Linked DNA regions of Drosophila melanogaster. The protein of the gene in region 2 interacts with the protein of the main gene of each other region in a pairwise test. Each region holds a gene or a part of one and is shown on either strand. Other genes may lie near its edges. The genes, in order: CG13066, spab and CG34376.

Region 1 (4,849 bases), on a different chromosome or scaffold from region 2:
TTAGACTATTTGACAATATTTAACTTATGTTAATTTAAGCTTACACACCCCACCCCCAAACTCTTTCATAGAGTACCCACTCCAGTAAAGCCTGGGAAACGGAACGTTTAAGTGCAACTTCTGGGGCTTCGGCAATTATAAATCGCCGCATGTTTCGCGAGGGGGCAGCTGATTAATGGGGCGTGACCATCGAGACAAAAGGCAGCGTTAAATTTTAATTTAATTTTCCGACTACAGCCACAAAACAAGTAAATTAGCTGCAAGAAGTGCAACTGCACGTGCAGAATGAGGCGTTTTTCAGCTTTTACAGGGCTATAAAAAGCGTTGAAAGCATCGAGGAGAATTGAGAATCAGCAACTCAAAGACTTGAATTAATTTGCAAAATGTTGTTTCTTAGTTAAATGTCGTTCGCTTGATTTGATTTTCATACTTTTCGACGGTTGCACGCGGCGTATGATTAATGCCAGAGTTGGCGTGGTGGGTTCGTTTGAGGCGTGGCTTCGTTCAACTTATCGATGGCGGGTGATTAGCAAAATGCAATTTAAGCGGCGCCCCTCAATGTAGTACCATATTCGCAGTGGCGATGGAAATGCATTGACCTCTAAGCCAACACACACGCAACTTGCAATCAAAGTGATAAACAATGTGCCGCGAGCTGGCCACATAGACCTCGAAGGGTCAGGGGGGTATCAGGGCTAAGGGGGTGCGAACTGCGTAAACAAAGCTCAAGGATTGCGTCCTGGAACGTGGCGAAGTGTCGATGAACCAAAGTGGGCGCACAAACAGGCCAGAGTTGGGCACACCCTTGGAGGGCACTCTGTCATATGGGAGCTGTCTAATGAAAATGGTGGCCTGATTTAACCTTAAACGAATTCATTCTTCTCATCATATAATAGTTTAAAGTGCTCTGGTGACCATTGCAAATGTTAAAAATTAAAGCTTGCAGCACTCGTTAATAATTCAAATGAAATCCCTTATCTTGAACTTATAATTCTATGTAATACCACAAACTAAAGCTATATATATATACTTCCCATCCAGGTATCTATTGCAATAAGACGGCGCTTCCCAAGAGCAACCTGCACTATCTGTTTCCTTTGAAGAAAAGTCCCGATGCCCACGGCAAGATTAAAATTAAACGGAAGGAATAAAACTCGATTCACTTCTCAGTCGGTCAGTGCGTGGGCCTGATGCATTGCGTTTTAATTTCTGTTTGCCTGCGAGCATGTATCTCCATCTCTGTTTGTATCTGTATCTTTCGCCGTGGCAGTGACGACGTCCGGTGGACACGTGCGGCAGCCTTGCGGAATCCCTTTGCCATCCTGGGACATCTTACTTCTTGAGGATGGTGGCCACAGGGGCGGCGGCATAAACGGCTGGCAGGGCGGCGCTGTGGGCCACACTGTGGGCACTGTAGCTACTGGCATAGGGGGCCACGTAGGGGGCGTAGGCAGGGGTGTAGGCGGCGGTGTAGGCGAGGGGTGCGGCAGCGGGCAGGGAGCTGTACGCCAGTGGAGTGGAGTAGGCCAGAGGGGCATTGTAGGCCAGCAGACCAGGATTGGCAGCAGCGGCGGCGAACAGGGCGCACAGGACAACGGCAAACTGCAGGATAAAATGCATACAAAAAGTACATTAAAATACACATTTACAAGAAGTTTTATAAATATAAAAAATTGTTTGAAAAATCTACACTGTTTGATAATAGTTTTATTTCGAACACACGCGTTTTTGTTTGTATTTAGGATTGTGAATTGTTGCATTTTTGAAACATTGTATCCTTAAAAAAATGTTGGAAACTTACGAATTTCATCATTTTAATTGATTTGGTTGTGTTAGCGTCGAAGTTAGACTTCTGATTGATGTCTTGTGCTGAGTTCGAAGTGGTTTATATAGGTAAATATACATAGCATCCTTGACAAAGCCCATTGAAAAAGCAAAAACCCAGCAAGTTTAAAGCATTTCCATCACGTACCAGGGCTAAAACAGGGCCAAACATTTGGTCTCTTTTTACTGGCACAATTATAATGTTGCAGATTTGTGTTTGTCGATATGCCTGCGAATAGTACGCATTCCTTGTGAATTTATTATTGAAAATGAATGTTTTTTCCCGCTCATCTTGAGCATTTCCGCAACTGGCGTCAGCAGCTGTCGTTTGCCGATTGAATTATCATAATTTAGCACTCAGTGCGTTTTGTGGGCTGTGAACGTGCGTGTCATTCCAACCGTCTTGGCCATCTCCGGAGTTCGGCTCACTCTGTACGTTTCAATTGTCAGCCACTCGAACACGCCACTTTGCATTCTAATCAGAGATGCAAGTAAAAATAGAAGCGGTTTATCCAGTTTCGAAGGACGTCATCGAGTTGAGCCCTTGGCTTAAGGTTGAGGACACCAGAAACAGGGAATCGAAAGCTTTGCATAAATGGAATCGCGAGTTCAATAAACCGGAGGTCTCGTTGACCCTATTAATCCAATGCAAACATGGACATTCCACCACGAAGAACACAACCTCCTTTACACTTCCTTTTTTTTTAACAAATAATAGGTTTTAAGTCCAAAAAATAATTTCCAATGTATCAAAGCAATTTATTGATACAAAGCTTAAAAAAGTCATTGATTCCTTCCAGCCCACCAAAATTAAAAAATGTAGGGGCTAGCAATTTATGAAACTAGTGTGAGAAATATTTACTGAAAATATGATATCACCTACTTTATAAATAATATTTCCATTGGATTTTAATGTATACCAAATTTAGTACTTAGTACCCATTGCAAAAGAGTACTGCCTAAAAGTATGTGATTATACATACTCCCTTCACATTAGAGATGAATAAGTGATGCAATAAATTATGAACAAGTGGTATACGTTTTACGCAAAATGCAGTATTTATTTCAACAAAAATATTCCCTTTCTTGAAGTGGTATGTCCTGTTCCCATGACTTAACTTTCAGCAGTCGGCAGAGGTGGGGAAATGTAGAGTCTGTCGAACTAACACCAGGGATGTAAGAAGATTGGATGTTGCAGGTGGTTAGCAGGAAGGTGTGTATCCTTGTTGCAATAGATGTGTATATGTTTATATTCAGGTCCAGTTCAGCAGTCAGGTTAAGATCACGATCCATTCATCCAGTCTTAACGGTAGTAGGCGGCATAGGGGTAGGCGGAGTAGGCGGACGCATAGGGGTACGTGTAGGCGGAGTAGGCGGCGGCCACTGGAGCGGTGTATGCCGCGGTGTAGGCAGCCGAGTAAGGAGCAGCTGCCACATAGGGAGCGGAGTAGGCGCTGTAGGCCAGAGGAGAAGCGAGCACCGCCGGCTTGGCAGAGACGCAGGCCACGATGGCGAACAGGCACAGAGCGAACTGAAAGGATAGGAAAAGTGCTTATGAGTAATCCGTTGTTTGGTGGCAAGTCCAGCTATCCTGCGATCCTTACGTATTTGAACATGTTGGCTGTTTGGGTTGGTTGTGAACTGTTGGTTCTCAAGTACTAGACTGATATCTCCTAGTGCCCGAGTACTCGGGTATATATAGCAGAATCGGTCGAGAAAATTCCATTCCAATTCCCCACATTGAAGCGAAGGTGATGCGTGGCCATTGGTATGCACATCCATTCCCAGATCGGTTCCAAGTCCATTTTGAAGCCAGCCAAGGAGAATCTTGAGCATTATGGCTTTGCACTTTTGGTTTCGTTTGGTATTTTTAAAAGCGTGACGAAAAGCGAAAAACAAATCGAATGTGAGTCCGTGTTTTGCATACTAAAACGTAGCTGGATATTGATCCATCCATCGGCAAGTCTGGAAATGACCCACAAAAACTGCCGGGTTGGGTTCAGAAATTTATAAAGCTGGGTTCTGTCGCTCCAGTCATGTTTATTTCGTTTTCAGAACGTTGAGCTATCAGATCTTATCAGCTCGGATTAGCTATGTACAGGAAATTAGTAAGTCTCAAGCGGTTATCCGCCGAGAAGTCGATGCACTTGCTCAAAGATGATGAGGCCTCGCCATCGGTGGCCATTTCAGGTGGTGCTCCTCCTTCTGATCCACCTGGCGGCCGCGGGTCAGATCCAGGATGCTGCCGAGGAGATCGATGTGCCGCCTGCCCATCGGGCTGCTCCACCACCGCCCCGCCAGGCAGCTGGAGCTGCTGTTCCCCCACCACCACTGGGGCCACCACCACTTGTGGGCTCTGCACCGCCGCCGAGCTATCCTTTGTTCTACCCAGCTGCGTGGCTGCCATTCGGACGCTACAGCAACTCCATTCCCGTCCACATAGTGGCTGCCTAGGGGAGCGTCCTCCCACTGGCCATAAGGTGGTCAAAGGACACTGTTGTCCCTCCTGTTGAATCCTTTCCCTGTTATGGTTGCTATTTTACTCGTTATTGCCCGCTTTAAGCCAGAAATATATTTTTAGACACGCACATGCATAATTATTTATTCGGGTTGACGCAACTTTCAGTCGGCAATTTTTAAATGGCCAACACGTGATTCTCCTACCAGAGATGCCGGTTACCTATACATTTCGAGAAATCTATCACTTTTGCCATCTGTGATTTGTCAATGGATGATGACGCAACTGAATTGGTATTTTTTCGGGCTACATTTCCGCATTTTAAGTGGGCAGAACAGACGCTGCCAGAACAAAAGGTTTAGAAAAGGTGACAGTAAAAAAATATTAATTATAAAAAACGTATATGTTTAGGTGACTTTCTTTTTAAATACTATCAAGAACTTTTGTTGCCGCCAAAAGATTGAGAAATAATAATTAATAGTAGAAAATCCATTAAAAAGTATTAATAATATATAACTATAGCTTTTTTGCTATTGAAAAACAGAACTTGGTGTTCCCATTTCCAGA
Region 2 (9,294 bases):
ATTACCAGAATGCAATAGTAGTTTCAATACAACCCATGTTTCCTTTGACCATCAATACACGCCAGCTGAGAGATTAAAGTAAACATTAATTAACATTTTATTCATTTCGATGTAAGCTAAGAGTAAGAGAAAGATTGTAATTAGGGTTATGATTAAATAGTACCTTCATATTGTTATTTTTTCGGTCTGCGAAATTTACTTTCCTATTTTAATTTAATTTAAGCTTTACTGAAGTTAATCACATCCTGTACGAACACAATCGATTTCTTTGGAAAACAAATCTAAACTAAATTTATAGCTCTATTCGCGTACGTATATTTAGGTTTTGAAACTATTCCTGTAATTGTAAAATCTGTAAATAATCTGTGCATTCAGTGCATGCGAGTCAAACAAAAAATGAGAGACAAGTTTCGAAGGATAGCGGACTTGATATTTGTTTGACTGTTCCAAGCTAAGTTTAAGCCGAAAGTTGTTCTTAAGACTAACCCCCAATACAACCTCCGAAGTGGGGCACTTCCTAAAGCCCACGACCTTAGTCCCTGATCCAAACCAAAAACAACTTAAAAAAAAAACTGAGTTTAAGATTCAATTTAAACCGAAGAACATAAAATCAACAAAAGACTTGAACATGCGCAAAAAACATATAAAAATTAATTTTAAAAATAAATCCTATTTTGCTGGCAAACCACACTTTTGGTTCGAAATTTACAAGAATTCAAGAACTAAAACGATGCACCTTGTGCGGTTTATGTTAGGCTCAAGTAAGCGAAGTAAGTGTCTCAGCCATAAAGTTAGGGACGAAAGCATTTGCAATGTGTATTATTCGTGAATGGATTGGATCATGAGAGATATATAGAATGTCAGAGAGTTGAAGAACGAAAGGAGGAATGATTTACTTGGGTGTAATGTTAAAAACAAAAGCGTTGAAAGTGTAAACAGAGTCTAACTTTTAGCTTTAAGCTGCGTTTTTAATGGCACTTTAAATAAAATTACAAAAATAAAATCAACCGAAAATATTTGTAAAGAATTTTCTGCGGTTTTTATTCACTATCTTCTGGTGTATTTTCAACTATTAATTCATTAAGTTTGCTTGGGCAAGAACATAAAATTTATTATGTAAGTTTATTTTGGGTCATAAGACTTGGTGCTTTCGCCACATCAAAAGTCTTCTATGTTGTTCAGGTGCATTCGTCACTAGTTTATAGGTGCGTCTAGTTGTGTTTTTGTTTTACTAAAATTTGAACTTGTTTGAACTCAATTTAATATATATATTTTTAAGAGTTAATAATATATTAGTCCCAAGAATAAATCCGTTAACTTACCTTTCTCTCATTCAAATACGAATATATTGTTACCAAATAAGTTTCAGTGAAAGTGCAGATATTTGGTAATGCTTTTATTGTATTCGATTTACATTTAGACGTGAAACGATTTAATTGTTGCTTAAGTATGGTAAAACTGCATTGGAATACTCTTCTTTCTGCTATTAACATTGAATGCCTCAGTCAGTATATTTGGAGTCTCTACTAAAAACACATCTAGATGTCTAAGATCGTTTGAGTAATAGCAAATATTCATATGCAGATTATAGAAATACAAATGCTCTAAGCTATAGCAATTTGACCTTGATATGTATTTGTTTAACAACTTGATATGTTTCAATATTGAAGTAATTCATACTCAATCCAATTCAATTGCTGTTTGGCTACTTTCCTTCGGTTTAATGAGCTTTGCTACCCGAGAACTGCGATCTTCAGTTGCGTCGATGCTGTACGGGAATATAATATAACTCAAATTCGTATTTTTGTTTTTGGACTATATCCATACCTCTGCTCCGACCATATCTACACAGTCGAAGGCATCGCGAAAGTAGCCACAGCTCAGCTTAATGGCTGCCCGGTGGTGCAAACGCTGCTGTTGACAGCACATTCCGCTGGAAAGTGGGACAGTTAGACCTGAATTGGGCTTATCAGCGCTATGCGGACTCACTTGATCACCTGGCAGTCGCTGCTGCTGCTGCACTCGCTGCCCAGCGGTTGCCTCTCCTTCGCTCCGAATATACCCTCCAGCAGCGACGTGGATCCTCCCGATTCCACGCTCGGCTCACACCGCCACGCTCCCTCCTGGGGGACCAGCATGCAGGAGCTGCCCTGCGGACAGTCCGCATGTCCCTGGCACAGATCTCGCTGACGCCCAAAGACATATACGCATTTGCCTTCTGCAAAATGATAGAGTTTATATAACATTTTTGTAATGGGTTGTAGAATAGCATCAGTTGATGTAAAAAATTTATCCTTATTTTTAAGGAAATAGTGCAATAGATAGAAAGAAACCTTTCCAACACCTTAAAGTACAATAGGCTCTTGATCCAGGTCAATAGCCAAGTAGATCCTAATGCTAGTTTCAGTCTGGTGTCCACTTTCTTTCAAATGTTTTAATCCCATATTTAAAATTTTGTTTGTCTAGGATGATTCCAAGTATTGTCTCATTAGCTATTGTCAGCATTAGCTATTCCAAGTGTAAGTGAGTGGGTTGGGTCACAGCGGACCAAGTGCAATTAGACCAACTTACCGCCGTATGTGCTGACGCAAACTCCGGAAGGACAGCAATCGTCGTTGAGGAGGCAGGGTCGGTCGGCACAGGGCGTGTCCTCAATCAGCGGCTCCACGATTCCGTAAACTTCGGTCTGTTGGCGCATCTGTGGGGAAGGTCGAGTGCGGTGGCAATTAGTGTGGCATTTGTTGGGCGCACGGTGCGTATGCGCTATATGTATATCCCCTTACTGCGCTGCAGCAGTTGGTTGGCTATCAATAACGCTGACACTCGTTGCGCGTTAATTAATTTGAGTTTCAGCGCGAACTCTGAAATTTCCGTTGATTGAAACCATTGATCCAGTGGGCCAATAAAACCATACAAGCATACGGGTTCCAATTTCAAATTGCTGCAAAACACGGCGCCAGACGCCTTCGGATATTTGTGGCACGCCCACACGGCGTATGCGTTTTCAGATGTGTTCGAGTGGTGCGATTTTTATTGAGTTTGGGAGTCGCCTCTAGCTGCTTAAGCCAGGAATCTTTTTTCCATGCATTAAAAGATTGCCATTTTTCAAGAGCACACATTCATTTGAATTTTAAAATCGTATGCTCAAAAGATTGTTTTTAAATCAGAAAGTAAAAGAGTTTTTTTCATGCTTTTCTAATAAATTAAAATTACTTGAAATAAAACTAAATCTTGAAAATTGTCCTGTCTGTTGGTTTAGACAATTTACAATCGAAATAGCTTTTCAGCCTTCCTTTAAAAACTTCGTTAGATAAACGAATCCATTTTCCTAGCTGCAGACATTGCCCATCATCCCGTTTTACTGTACACATACCCTGTAGTTTCGTCCTGCAAATACCTGCAATCACAACCTCCACTCATGCACTCACCTGCTGCGGCGGAGGATGCGGCTGGTGCTGCTCCTGCTCGACGGCGCCATAGGGGCCCAGGTATTCGTCAAGGCCCAGATCAGCGGCTCCGGAAAACGGGGCTCTGCGGTGCATCAAGTTGCGCGATTCCCGGCCAAATAGGGCGCGCTGCCAGGCGTTTCCGGATGCGAACGAGGATGCGGACGCCGCGAGCGAGGGGTCCAGCTGGTGGGCCAGGCCCAGGAGCAGCAGCATGGCTGCCCACCTCGGAAAAATGCTCATAGTGGTCACGTTAGTACATCATCACTAGTGGAAAGCCCGCTCTCCTTCTCCCGATGAACTGTGAAAATGGAAACCGAGTACACGCTTAATTAAAACGTATGCCCGCCCAGGAGTCGATTGCTGACCTCCGGGAGGAGCAAACTTCCGTGTTCAAGCGCTCGAGTGGAGCGTGGGGCATATAAATCTCTGTCTTCCAGCTCAGAATCGCATCAGCGGTTCTATTAACGTTTTCCCGGCAAATATCCCCGTCGGGCAGCTCATTAAAATTGTCGGCTTGCTTTTAGCGTTATTATATTACCGGCTGTGCCTTAATTTATGTATTCTCAGACTTGGTTCACTCTCGTGTCTCCATTTGTATGGCCTGATGAAAGGCTCACATATAAAGTCGGTGGGTAACAATAAATTATGCAATTTTAGCATATTGCCTACTTTTGCACGTTAGCTTAATAAGCCATCAACCAAATAAGCAAAAATCGTTAATGTATGCCGAAGGTATAAGTTAAGAATCGTTAAAAATTAAAGGAAATGGAAACTTAGCTTATTCAAGTATTTCATTAAACTCAATTAAAGATGCACATTTAAAGAATATTCATATTTGCAAGTTTTAAAAGGAAATTATAATACATGTGAAAGTTGAGCCTGCCTGGGAGAACACGAAAGCTCAAAGTGAATTTTCCTTTCATTTGCTAAATGTTGTTAATTGTATTCAGTTTCGTGATGACTTCCCCCAGGAAAAGTAATTAAAACAATTTATGCAAAAGCTTCTAGCAAACGAATGAACAGTCTCAAACAGCTTTTAAATAACTTCTAATGTGGGTTACGTTATGCGTACTAAGTCGACTTAGTGGTAACTGTTCGTCCCTCAACTGAAATAGCATCATTTTGGCCTTAAAATAGAATCGAGCTAGATTGTTATATATAATTGCCTACTTATTGGGGTGGCACTTTGTAGCTGCACAGACGACCTTGATACTTTTGGCTTGATTTAGACCTTCTTTGGACGGTCGATTGACAACAGTTGTTAACACTCATCCATTAATAAGTTAGTGGGTGAAAGGCAATGGGTTCACCGAAGGCCAGGGAAAATATTTTCCGGCTGTCACACGAATATCCGGCGTGGGAGTGCAATTTCATTAATGTTCCTGCCTTCGAAGGCGGTTCAGGCCAATGTGGTTGACTAAACAAACGCGGAGTCCCTTTATGATTCTCCTTTAGCATTTTTATAATTACTTTCTCACACTTTCACTGGACGCGGCTCGTCAAAGTTCTTGTCGTCCCAGTTCGCGGGTTTGTTGCCAAGCATTTTGACCTTTTGGTTGCCGAGGACAGGAGTCATCCATAGCCTGTTATTAAATCTTGACTAATTGAGTTTCAGCCCAAAAAGGGCGTCCTGTTTTTTTAACCCGTTAGGGAAATTGAAATTGATCCATGTGTCTTTCGTCCTTTAATTTACCAAAGTGCTCATGCTTGCGACGTGACTTCTTTATCCGCTGCTAAATACTTCTAATTGCATTGGGCCACTGGAAAGTTTTGCAATTAGTATTTCTTCTATAGTTACAAATTCTCCGAAACTTTGCCAATGATTGGAAGGTGGCTTTAGTTTGGAAGCACTTTGGCGATGAGTCGATAAAAGTTCCTTAATTGAGCATAAACTTTACCTTTTCCGAGAATTATGCTTGCTGCGAACCTTGGCCCTTACAAATAAGATCCTTTGCTGTGATCATTGCGATAAATATTCTATTGAAAGGGCTAATGTATTTCTTAGAAGGGAATATAATCAGAAGGTACACCAGATGCCATGAAATATACAATTGTTTATATATCCATCTGTATGTCTGTCTGTCCGTATGAACTATTAGATCATGGGAACTATTAAAAGTTGGAATAAGTAATCATTCATATTGAAGCGATGAAGTTGGCATGTCTGTCATGCGTCGCATTTCTATTGCAGAATATAAGTCGGAAAGGACAGAATTGGACCACTATATTATATAGCTGACAAGTTAAAATTTGCAAAATGTATTACTAAGGATATCAAAGAAATACTAGATTCGTTGTTTCTGATCATAAAGTCTTCTCTTGGGAATGCATCAGTTTTGTTAAGTATACAAGATGTACATATATAAGATGCGAATAACCTTGGGATTGCCAAGGTTCTGAAGTGTGCTAAAAAAAAACTTATATGCATGATCTCCACGGACAAATCAACATTTCTTATACCTGCTTAAGCAATCGTATTTAAAAGCAACAAGTTTAGTGGAAAGCAATTCAACTCGACAAAGCACCACTTTACGCCATACCAGATAAAAATGATCAAATGAAAGGGATCAAATCCCAGCCGAATTAGCTCTAACTAACGCACTGTGCCGGTAATGGCATTCCATTTTGTGGCATATCCAGTTCCATATCTACGCTTTAGCCTGAACTCAACCACTCAATTCCACCTACGCTCGACCCACTTTAAAGTGCGAAAAAACGGTTCGCGGTGGAAATTAGACCATGATTTGCCGTAGTTGACTGCGACACGCCCGTGGATGCACTTAAAGTGCAGGTGCACAGTTGTCCTGCGCCATTCCATGGGCAGGAAGGAGTTGGTTATACCAATACACGTGTCAACTTTCACTTTCGCCGCACGCGAACGGGGTGGAGGGATGGGGTCCTTATGGCGCACAACATACCTGCTGGCTGGGCGTCCTGTCGGCTACTGAATGTCTGAAATGGCTCAAACAACACCTGTCGGCTAGCTGCCGGAAAGGAGCTTTTTGGCTACGAAGCTTTTAGTTGGATTTTTATGAATTAAGTGTGTTTGTGGCGCAGTCAAAGCTCCTAGGATTCAGTTTTAATGGAGTCTCCCCTCCGCCCGCACCATACCCCGTGTATGTGTGTTTTGAGTTTTGGCTGCGGGAGTTTCGGCCATGACGTCACTGTGATTTGTGGCAGCGGTGCAAAATTAATGAGCCTCCTCTTGTTACCAAAATGGGATCCTTGATTCGGAGTGGCTGTCCTGCAGGCAAATCTGTTAAATGGAAAACACGCAATTTGCTTGCCCCAACGAGATAAAAAGAGTCTGCCCTCCAGGACATTCCGTGCATCAGGATAATGAGAGCTGTATGCTCATGCCACTCACTCTTCGCTCTGAATGTTCGATGAGGAAATGATTTTGGCCACGTGGAGTGGAAATAGCGTTGCACTTGTGTGTACTTTGTATAATTAATTTACGTTTATTTGCCAGTAAATTATGTTTAGTGCTGCACGAGATGAGAATGATCTGTATTGAATGTTAACAACATCTTTAGTTAACTTAGATTTTATTTCAAATAGAATAAAAGTTATTGCTCAAAGACTGGTTTTCAGTTTAGTTTTTAAAATATACGTTATTGGTCAGGGACTACATATAATATAAAGATTTATCTCTTAACAGTGAATTACTCACACATGATATAATATTTAGGGACACAAATTATGGAATAAATAGCTGGTAAAATGCTAACAATTCTGTGTGATTAAATAGAATAATGAAGATGGTGCCAAAGGATTGTGGCTTTAGTGTCGATTTAGCAGCAGCATTGACATCTGGAGAAGCTGAAACAGAAGCTCCCAGGCGCAACCACATACAATATTCCCAATGGGGAAAAGCTAGGGCTGACTGAAGTGGCAACTTTCAAAAAAAGGAGAGCAAGCTCGCGTGGCGGAAATTGCATCAAGGCTACAGCTCAGTTTATGTCAAGAATTCCACCGCTCTTTGAGTTTTGTAAAGCTGACATTCAATGCTAAAATACATACATAAAAGTTTAACCTTTAGTTACTTTTAAGGCTAGCTACTGGAGAAAATTCTGAAATCATAGTTTACAAATGCAACCCCTTTGTTTGTTTTTACTAAAATGTATGTCGTTTATTTCGATTTTTTTTCGATTGGTTCGTTCACTTAACAATTAACATATTTAGATAAAAGAATTAATAATATAAATCGATAAATTAGTAAATTCAATTGAACTAAAAACATTTGCTCTCGCTCTCATTTGAACATAACAACAATTTGCCTATGAAGATAACAATTTTTTTAGTTGAATCAAACGCACAAATCGTCGCGCTTCCTCACGTCACGTCACATAAATAAATAAATAGTCAAATAAATAGGCTTAGAACTAGAATAAATATGTCTTATCCCTACGTTTTGCAATCAGCGTAATTCTCATTCAGACTCTACAAGTGTTAGGCACGCGTACTCAAAAAAACGAAATCTGCAGTCATCCTCAAGCGAAATGTCGCTAACTCGGAATGTGGAAATACCCGGCGAATGTCGTTTGAAATGCTGCAGTTGATTTTCTATTAAGCTAATGAAATGATGGTAGCATGGAGGGGGTTCGAGGAAGGGGTCCGAAGATGCGACGTCGCAAAGGATGAGCCAACTTTCCCACGCTTCTAGCCGCGACTCTTAAAACTCTACGTTCTATTTACACTTGGTGCTCCTGCCTCAGCAGTTAGTTGGCGCTGGCCATCTCTGGGATGGGGAGAAACTTGAAAACTGTGGAGGCGACTACCTATTTCACGCCCGTTATGCTGCGCAGCCACGGCTTGTAGAAGGTGGTGCGCATATAGACACCTGGCAGATACGGCGCCGCACACTTGATGCCGTGGGAAACGGTTCCGGCCAACTCGTAGCGTCCATCCGGTCGTTGCAGCACCAGCGGACCGCCACTGTCGCCCTGTCGGATAGTGAGACGGATTAGGGTACATTTTCAAAAGAAAAGAGTTCACCGAGCTTACCTCGCACGAGTCCTTTTGTCCGTTGGCATAGCCGGCGCACAGGAAGGAGGTGAGAATCTTCTTGTTGTGTCCAGCGGTGTGGAACATCTCCTGGCAAACGCTGTTCTCGATAATCGGCACCTAATTTAAATTAGCCCCGGGTCAGTTCGCAATTTAAAGGACACTCTGTTCACTGCGTGCTTACCTGCACCTCCTGGAGAACGGAGGGAACTCCACCTCCGTACTTAAGGCGTCCCCATCCCGTCACTGTCGCCATGCGTCCAGTGAAGTCCGCCACATCATTGGGCATGCAAATGGGCACTGTTGGCGAAAAGAGGAATAGATTAGCCCTTACTAAAGTATACATATGTATATGATATGAAACTCACCTATATGGGTATCGAATTGCACTGGACTGTCCAGTTCCAGCAGGGCCAGATCGTTTTCAAACGTGGCTGGATCGTACTGCCGGTGGACAATGACGCGCTTGACATTCTTGGTCACTGAACGCTTGCTCTCCAGGTCGCCGGAAATGTCAAACTCGCCCATAACAGCCACCAGAGAGGCCAGGAATCTGCGGAGGATTCAAATGAAATCCCTGAATTAAGCCCACCAAAACCATAAGTTTGAGTAATAGCTTACCCAGGCTGACAATGGGCGGCGGTGATGACGTAGCGGCTGGTGATTAGGACGCCGCCGCACTTGTTCTTGGTGAATAGGCCCAGCCAGGTGGACTCCCGGACGAGGACCTGCCAGGGGTAGGCGCCGAAGGTGGAGCCCTTGCCTCCGACAATGCGGCCGGACTTGACATGGGGCCGTACACCGCACTCTGTTGATGGGGAGTGAAATGCGAGGTTAG
Region 3 (6,873 bases), on a different chromosome or scaffold from region 2:
CCATCCTTTAAAATTCATTTTTAACGTTTGCCCACCCTTTAAAAATAAATTATTTCGTTTGCCCACCCTTTAAAATTTGTTTTTTTCGTTTGCCCACTCTTAAAACTAAATAATTTCGATTGCCCACCTTTTAAAACTAAATAATTTCGTTTGCCCATCCTTTAAAATTCATTTTTAACGTTTGCCCACCCTTTAAAAATAAATTATTTCGTTTGCCCACCCTTTAAAATTTGTTTTTTTCGTTTGCCCACTCTTAAAACTAAATAATTTCGATTGCCCACCTTTTAAAACTAAATAATTTCGTTTGCCCATCCTTTAAAATTCATTTTTAACGTTTGCCCACCCTTTAAAAATAAATTATTTCGTTTGCCCACCCTTTAAAATTTGTTTTTTTCGTTTGCCCACTCTTAAAACTAAATAATTTCGAAAATATTTTATTCCAGAATTTTCTTGAGCTTGGAGAGTGTTGATAAACATACATACATTTTTTTGCATATATATTATATTGCAATATAAAATATTTTCCATGAAATGAAACAATGATTAAGAAAAATTGATGTTACAATTCATGAATGATTAACACTATGGATATATTGAAAATGTATGTAAATATGTAAATAACTGTTCTTTTGTAAGTAACTGTGCTTTTGACGCCACATCTTACAATTATTACATACATATGTACAAATTTATTTTTAATAGGTGAAAAATCGAAAAAACCATTTTTAAGAGGTGGGCAAACGAAAAAAACAAATTTTAAAGGGTGGGCAAACGAAATAATTTATTTTTAAAGGGTGGGCAAACGTTAAAAATGAATTTTAAAGGATGGGCAAACGAAATTATTTAGTTTTAAAAGGTGGGCAATCGAAATTATTTAGTTTTAAATGGTGGGCAAACTTTTTTTATTGGAAATTTTTATTTTAAAGAGGTTGGCTAAGGAAATTGGTTGTATTTTAAATGTGGGCAATCGAAAAAAAATTTTTGTTAAAGGTTTTTTAAAGGGTGGGCAAACGATAAAAACTAATAATAATTGTTGGGCAAACGTTTTTTGTTGATAATATTTGGTTTTAAGAGATGGGCAAACGATTTACTCTCTGATTAGACCGAGGTAAACTTAAAAGCCTTATATTTTCTAAAGTATACATTTTTTCAAAATTCTAAAGGGTGGGCAAACGTGGGCAAACGATGTTATTGCGATTTAAAAAAAAAAAATTTTGAAAAAAGCGAAATTTTTGATTTTCGAAAATTTTCGAACTTTTTCGAAAATTCATATCTCAAAAACTGGACGTGGGCAAAAAAAACTAATTGGTGGGCAAACATGGGCAAAAAATGGGCAAACGATTCCAGCTTTCAAATTTCAAAAATTCGATTTTTCCGACCCCAGCTTCTTTGAGCTATGTCCGTCTTGTTTATGCCAATAATAAATAGATAATTTTGGAGGATTAGCATTGTATTGGGGACTGTGACTGTTGGCCAGATATAACCACTTGGAACGGCACAGTGTGGATTGATTTACACGTCCGGAGCAGCGGAAACACGTATATATGTTGCGAGGCTCTCTAATCAATATCTCGACTAAACTAAATTCTTCGAGTGGCTGTAAGGGTGAAGGAGTGGGCGGGCGGGCACTCAGTTACTCAGTTGGGCAATAAATGATTGTTAAACGCGATAAAAAGATAAAAAATATTTCGACTATTGTTGTTGTTTCTGCGTGTTACACACGGAACAAACACATAGCCATTTGGCTTGTTAGCACCTCGATGACTGTTGTTGGCTGGGCTGGTCTACATTTAATAGCTTGCCCCCGCTTGGGTTCGCCGTTATTTATAGGGTATATTAATATTCTTTATCTTTGGAAATACCTCTTGTAGCAGCGTTTGTGGGTAGGTAGCACCTTCCTGCAGCTACTTGAAAAGATAAAACCTTATTTTTTATGGCCGCCTGATCAGATAAAGCCACCGTGCAGCAGGCAGCCGTGTTCAACACGACTGCGAACGAAATCGGAATCGTACCGACCAGGAGGGGCCGCGGCGATATCATATCCATACACCATATAGCGTACATAAATAGTAGTACACCACCGTTCTAGAGTCCATTTGAAGTACATTTGATGAGGTCAGCAACGCACCCAATCTCCCCGATCCGATCGAAGTGGGCTGCGGCTCCGACTCTGCGCTCTCTTGCCATGGACCTTATCACGATACTCCCTCCGCCGGTGGATACTCCGTGCGTGGCGTGGGTAAACAATCCCGGTGTGCCTCCGGAGGCGGAGGACTCCGGCAGCTACCACACAGGCATAGACAACGCGGCGGCACTCCGGCTCACCGGAGGATTATCACCAGACCTCGATTCTTAGTGGGTTGCTGCTGTTTGTCTTTAGATTTACGACTCTACAGTCAAACTTCACTAACTGGAACATGAATCAGAAACGGACAGATATTACGAATTGGATTATATTACCCTGAATTGGATTAGTAAATCAAATCGGTTATCAAATGATTACAGTTCATTACAAAGTCTTTAGATAACTGTAGGCTGGATAAACCTTAATGCATTTGCATAAACGATTTATAATCTTCCTAATATCGCTGCACTACTTAATTTTAATGGGCGATCCATCAAACGACTAACAATATTATTCGATTGATTACTTTGTATGCTAAAAAAAAGGCAAGTTAGGCTTATGAAATAAAGTGTAAAGTTAATAGGGCGGGTATAGTTGGATTTATGGTAGCGATACTGTAAAGACAGACGTAGTCGTGCTGGGACGCTCGTCTGGAACTCGGAATCGAACTGGCGGTGGAGCTGGGCTGATAACCACCGAATGTGTCATGGAATTTAACACAAAGGTTGATTTATATCTAAGCGTTTGACAAGAGTGATGAACAGACAGGCTGACGGGCGGGCTCCTCGATAAACTGACACCGCTGTCCCAGTGATAAACTGACCGATTTCTGGGGGAATATGCTTGACCAAGTAACCAGCAGTCACTCTTCCCTGGCATTATACAGACTATGTATGTATGTGAAGGGTATGAAATAGCCCAGCGAATAGTCAGACTCTTTTCCGGCTTATTAAAATTCCAAGAAAATATGTCTACAATGTATTTGCAATGCCAAGAGCCAAGCAATTTGTAAGAAACCCGAATCCTTCAGTTACGCACTCAATGTTCCATTAGGATCATCCATATGCATGGCAACGAAAGCTCGGAACATTAAACTTGACCAATTTCTGGAAGACCACTTCCGTGCCCAGTATCAAAATACACATATAAATGCCGCGCTGACAATGTAAGCCACGCTGCATAACTTAGCATTTAAACCGGGGACGCCGGCGATGGGGCCGCAATCTTGTGCTGCCTAATCGGTGTACTCACTGATGGGATGCTTGCAGGGATTGGTAGTGAATATCTCCTGGAAGTAGGGGCTGCAGATAGCCAGCACTATCTTGTGGGCATGGAGGAGCTTTCCATCGCAGGCGAGGGTCACGTCCACCAGGTCGCCGCGGTCGTACAAATTCTGGAAGCCGCTGGCTATGTTGTCCTGGAAGTTCTTCCAGCACAGCTTAAACTCGTCGTCCATCGCGGATGCGGATGCTCGCCGAAAACCAGACTTTTCCAATTCCAATTGGGGAGCGTAATTTATGCGCACAGACTTTTGCGATGATTCTCGTGCGAATCTGTTTTTTATGGCTTTTGTTTATCCGCTTTGCTCGTGATTCGTTCACGGGCCAAAAATCGCAATTCACGTATTCTCGCGCACCTTTATTTTTATTATATCAAGGGTTCGAATTTGATAAACTAGCTACCAACTACTCGATCCGCATTCACGCGCACACGATCTCGAGTCGTTCGCGTCCACGGGCGCATTGATTTTGATTTGGGCTCTAATTAACACAGTGTGATTTAAACATTTTTATCGGAAAGCGTGAAAAGCAGCGACGCTGTTTACGTTCCGGCTGATAATGAACGCACCACCCCCCCGCACTTTGAGGAACAGTGAAATGTTGGTTTTTTAGGCGCCACAGCGAACGGTCTCACTGGCCACTGGTAAACAAACGAAAATGTTTGCTGAACTTTAATTCCAGCTATAAAAATTTGATTAACAATCAAAACTGTTATCACAAAGAAAAACGTTAGAGAGGAATGAAATTCTGGGATTTTATACAGAAATAATAATTCTAAAGAGATTATAAATCCTGCAAATATATATTTTTGTAAAATGTATGTTAACTACTAATTTGTTAAAAATGTTCGCAATTACTACGTAAATTGCTTGAATTGTCAAATGCTTCTAAGCGTTTTTGAAATCTGGCCCACAAGAGCGGAATTTTCAATCGATAGCCTTTTCGATAAACGATATCATAACGACAATTGAATATTTAGCGCCAATTAGAGAGCATTGAAAACGTTTTCCCCTGATAAGAGCTTATCGCAATTGGTTTGTTGGTCGCTTCGTTGCGGTTATATCCGACCGGCATTGTCCGCTTTTATCACAGTTCTACGGTTCTTTGCACGATGCTAATACGGCCGATGGGGAACTACACTGTTGATAGCAGACCTACCCATGGTGTCATAAATAACCCACTTTACATTTTAAACAAAAAGAGAATAAAAGTAACAGCAGGGCTTATCAATTAGCCATGAGTCGTTTGTACGCCTCAGGTGCACACATACGCACCCAGTCAATTGGCCACCGATTTGATTTGCCCGATTTAGTGCTCAAAGAACTTTCAGCAAATTAGCCCACTCGTCCCGAGAATCAGTAAAGAGTATACCATAATGGGTTGTTGTTTTGGTAAGTGATTTGCAGCTATCTTCAGAAGGCAATAACAGCGACTAATAATAGTTGTGTACTTGCAGGCAAAAGTAAATCAGTCGATTTGCCCGCGGTTCCGCCGGCTCCAGCCAAACAACGCTCCACTCTGCCAGAATTCCCGATTTCTGGATCGGTGACTAGCACGGCTCCTGCAGGATCTGGATATGGATCTGGAGGAGCCACCAATGCGGCCCTCGAGGATGACTAGACGTGGTTAAAGGAACAGAAAAAACGTTCACGTCCAGGGAAAACTGTAAATTTGCCAAATGGCAGATTGGATTATGAGTCATTCCGTGCCGAGATGTGGTTTTTTCAAAGTTGTGCACCCTTTGTAGTTAGTATTGTAGTAAAATACGTTGTTTATTGTTGGAGAGTATAAAATTGTTGGTAAATTAAATCATAACTTTAATCTCTTTGAATAAGTTGCTGTTCTGTTTTTTTTCCTGTTTCGCCAGTTTATATTTTAGCGCGCCAAGTGTCGCCCTATACAACACTGAAACAAGGGCGGTATTTTTCGGTATTTTAAAAAGGGTCATACCATTCTCTGCCAGCACGTGTGTGCGGCTGTTTTTGTGTTTAACTTAAATTTTAAACGATTTATGCTGTAAATAGGCAAATATAATTTATAATATTATTATTAAAGCAAAATGGCCATTCAACCCAATCGAAGAAAGAGAAGGCACGAGGAGACAACTGCTGAGCAAGAGGATGAAGGTGAAGTGGAGGTGCCCAAAAAACTGGCCAAGGAGTCCGACACACCGAAGAAAAAGAAAAAGAAGGATAAAACTAAGGAATCATTCGATGAATCCACGCTGGAAAGCACTGAAACCGATCCTGCTGACTCCACTCCATCAAAGAAGAAGTCTAAAAAGACAAAGACATCCGACACAAGTGTAGAACAACAGGTGGAAGTGGAGATGGCTGAGGATGAAATAAGTCGCGATTCCGGGATTGATCCCGAAGAATCCCGCATACACTTTCCCAACGACTTTAAGATGATGCACTTTCGAACCAAGCTTCGCGGCAATAACTTCATAACAGGTGGGTTAATACGTTCAATAAAAGATCGCTAACTCACGAATCCCAATTCCAGAACTGCGACACTTCCTGCACATGTGCTCAACCACGCGTCCTAAGCTTGCGGCTAAGTACATAGAAAAGCGTGGAAAGCCCTTGGAGTTAGCAGAAGCATTCGAAAGGATCGATAAGACTAATTTATTTCACGTGGACTACCTCACAGAGGCTTTGCACCGAGTTTTGATGGAAATACTTACCAACCAGAAGAGCCACATGGAGTCGGCTGTCCACGGGTGTAGATATTTTCTCAAGGTTCACGGAGGAGTGCTCGAAAATCAAATGAAATCAATGCAGCTAGGCCATCGGCGTAATGCCCTAAAACTGCTCACCGCTATTGTGTGCGTGGAGCCTCAATTGGCCCGCCAAGTTCTGAATTCGTATGATGTGCTTTCCAACGTGACTGTGACGCAGAAATTGCTGTCCCATGAAAAAAGTGAATACCAATGCGAGGATACAGTGCGCAAAGCGTTTATTCTCTTTATTTTGGCCTTCCTGGTCGAGGGCAATACTCTACTTATCCGGAACATCCTGGATCGAGGGCAACTAATTGGTGTGCTGGCCAAGGGATTGGTTTACGATGACCACGTAACCGTCTGCGTGGTGCTTAACGCACTACGGCAATATGTGCTGGAGAACCCCGAAATACAGAAGACCAAAAAGGTTCTGGTTTTCGATTTAGAGTGCTGCAAAAATCTGCGTCGCCTCTACGATTGGGAGGGACCCATGGGACTCAAGGTGATGTTTGCTAAATCGAAACATGTTTCTAAGATACCTCCAAACCCACAGGAGGCGGAAGCGGTATCGGCTGCCGTTCACGAACTCCTGCTAGTCCTTTTGACTTCCCGCAAGCACGGCATCTGCTTTGATGCGATGACGCACTACCGCCAAAAGCAAAACAAACTGCAGGGCAGATTACTTGGCTCTCTATTCAAGCCCTACGATAATCCGCGCAAAGTGGATTTGGTTATTCAAACACTAA

What was found.
Region 1: the proteins of spab (region 2) and CG13066 interact in a two-hybrid assay, tested with the Drosophila melanogaster proteins (one large-scale study listed by BioGRID).
Region 3: the proteins of spab (region 2) and CG34376 interact in a two-hybrid assay, tested with the Drosophila melanogaster proteins (one large-scale study listed by BioGRID).

Annotation. Positions count from the first base shown.
Region 1 is NT_037436.4:16,269,931-16,274,779, reverse strand, and holds CG13066 (uncharacterized protein), read right to left. Parts: upstream 1,872-4,849; 5' UTR 1,814-1,871; coding exon 1,802-1,813; intron 1,603-1,801; coding exon 1,333-1,602; 3' UTR 1,172-1,332; downstream 1-1,171. Other genes in the region: CG13067 (uncharacterized protein), read right to left, coding at 3,128-3,355, 3,429-3,440; CG34248 (uncharacterized protein), read left to right, coding at 3,982-4,278.
Region 2 is NT_033778.4:8,961,788-8,971,081, forward strand, and holds spab (space blanket), read right to left. Parts: upstream 6,398-9,294; 5' UTR 6,368-6,397; intron 3,748-6,367; 5' UTR 3,690-3,747; coding exon 3,429-3,689; intron 2,699-3,428; coding exon 2,572-2,698; intron 2,219-2,571; coding exon 1,990-2,218; intron 1,934-1,989; coding exon 1,828-1,933; intron 1,769-1,827; coding exon 1,754-1,768; 3' UTR 1,377-1,753; downstream 1-1,376. Other genes in the region: flz (filzig), read right to left, coding at 8,231-8,395, 8,457-8,576, 8,641-8,756, 8,825-9,009, 9,078-9,294.
Region 3 is NT_033777.3:22,445,124-22,451,996, reverse strand, and holds the start of CG34376 (uncharacterized protein), read right to left. Parts: upstream 3,899-6,873; 5' UTR 3,582-3,898; coding exon 3,377-3,581; intron 1-3,376. Other genes in the region: CG34288 (uncharacterized protein), read left to right, coding at 4,781-4,796, 4,862-5,025; CG12499 (uncharacterized protein), read left to right, coding at 5,465-5,858, 5,911-6,873.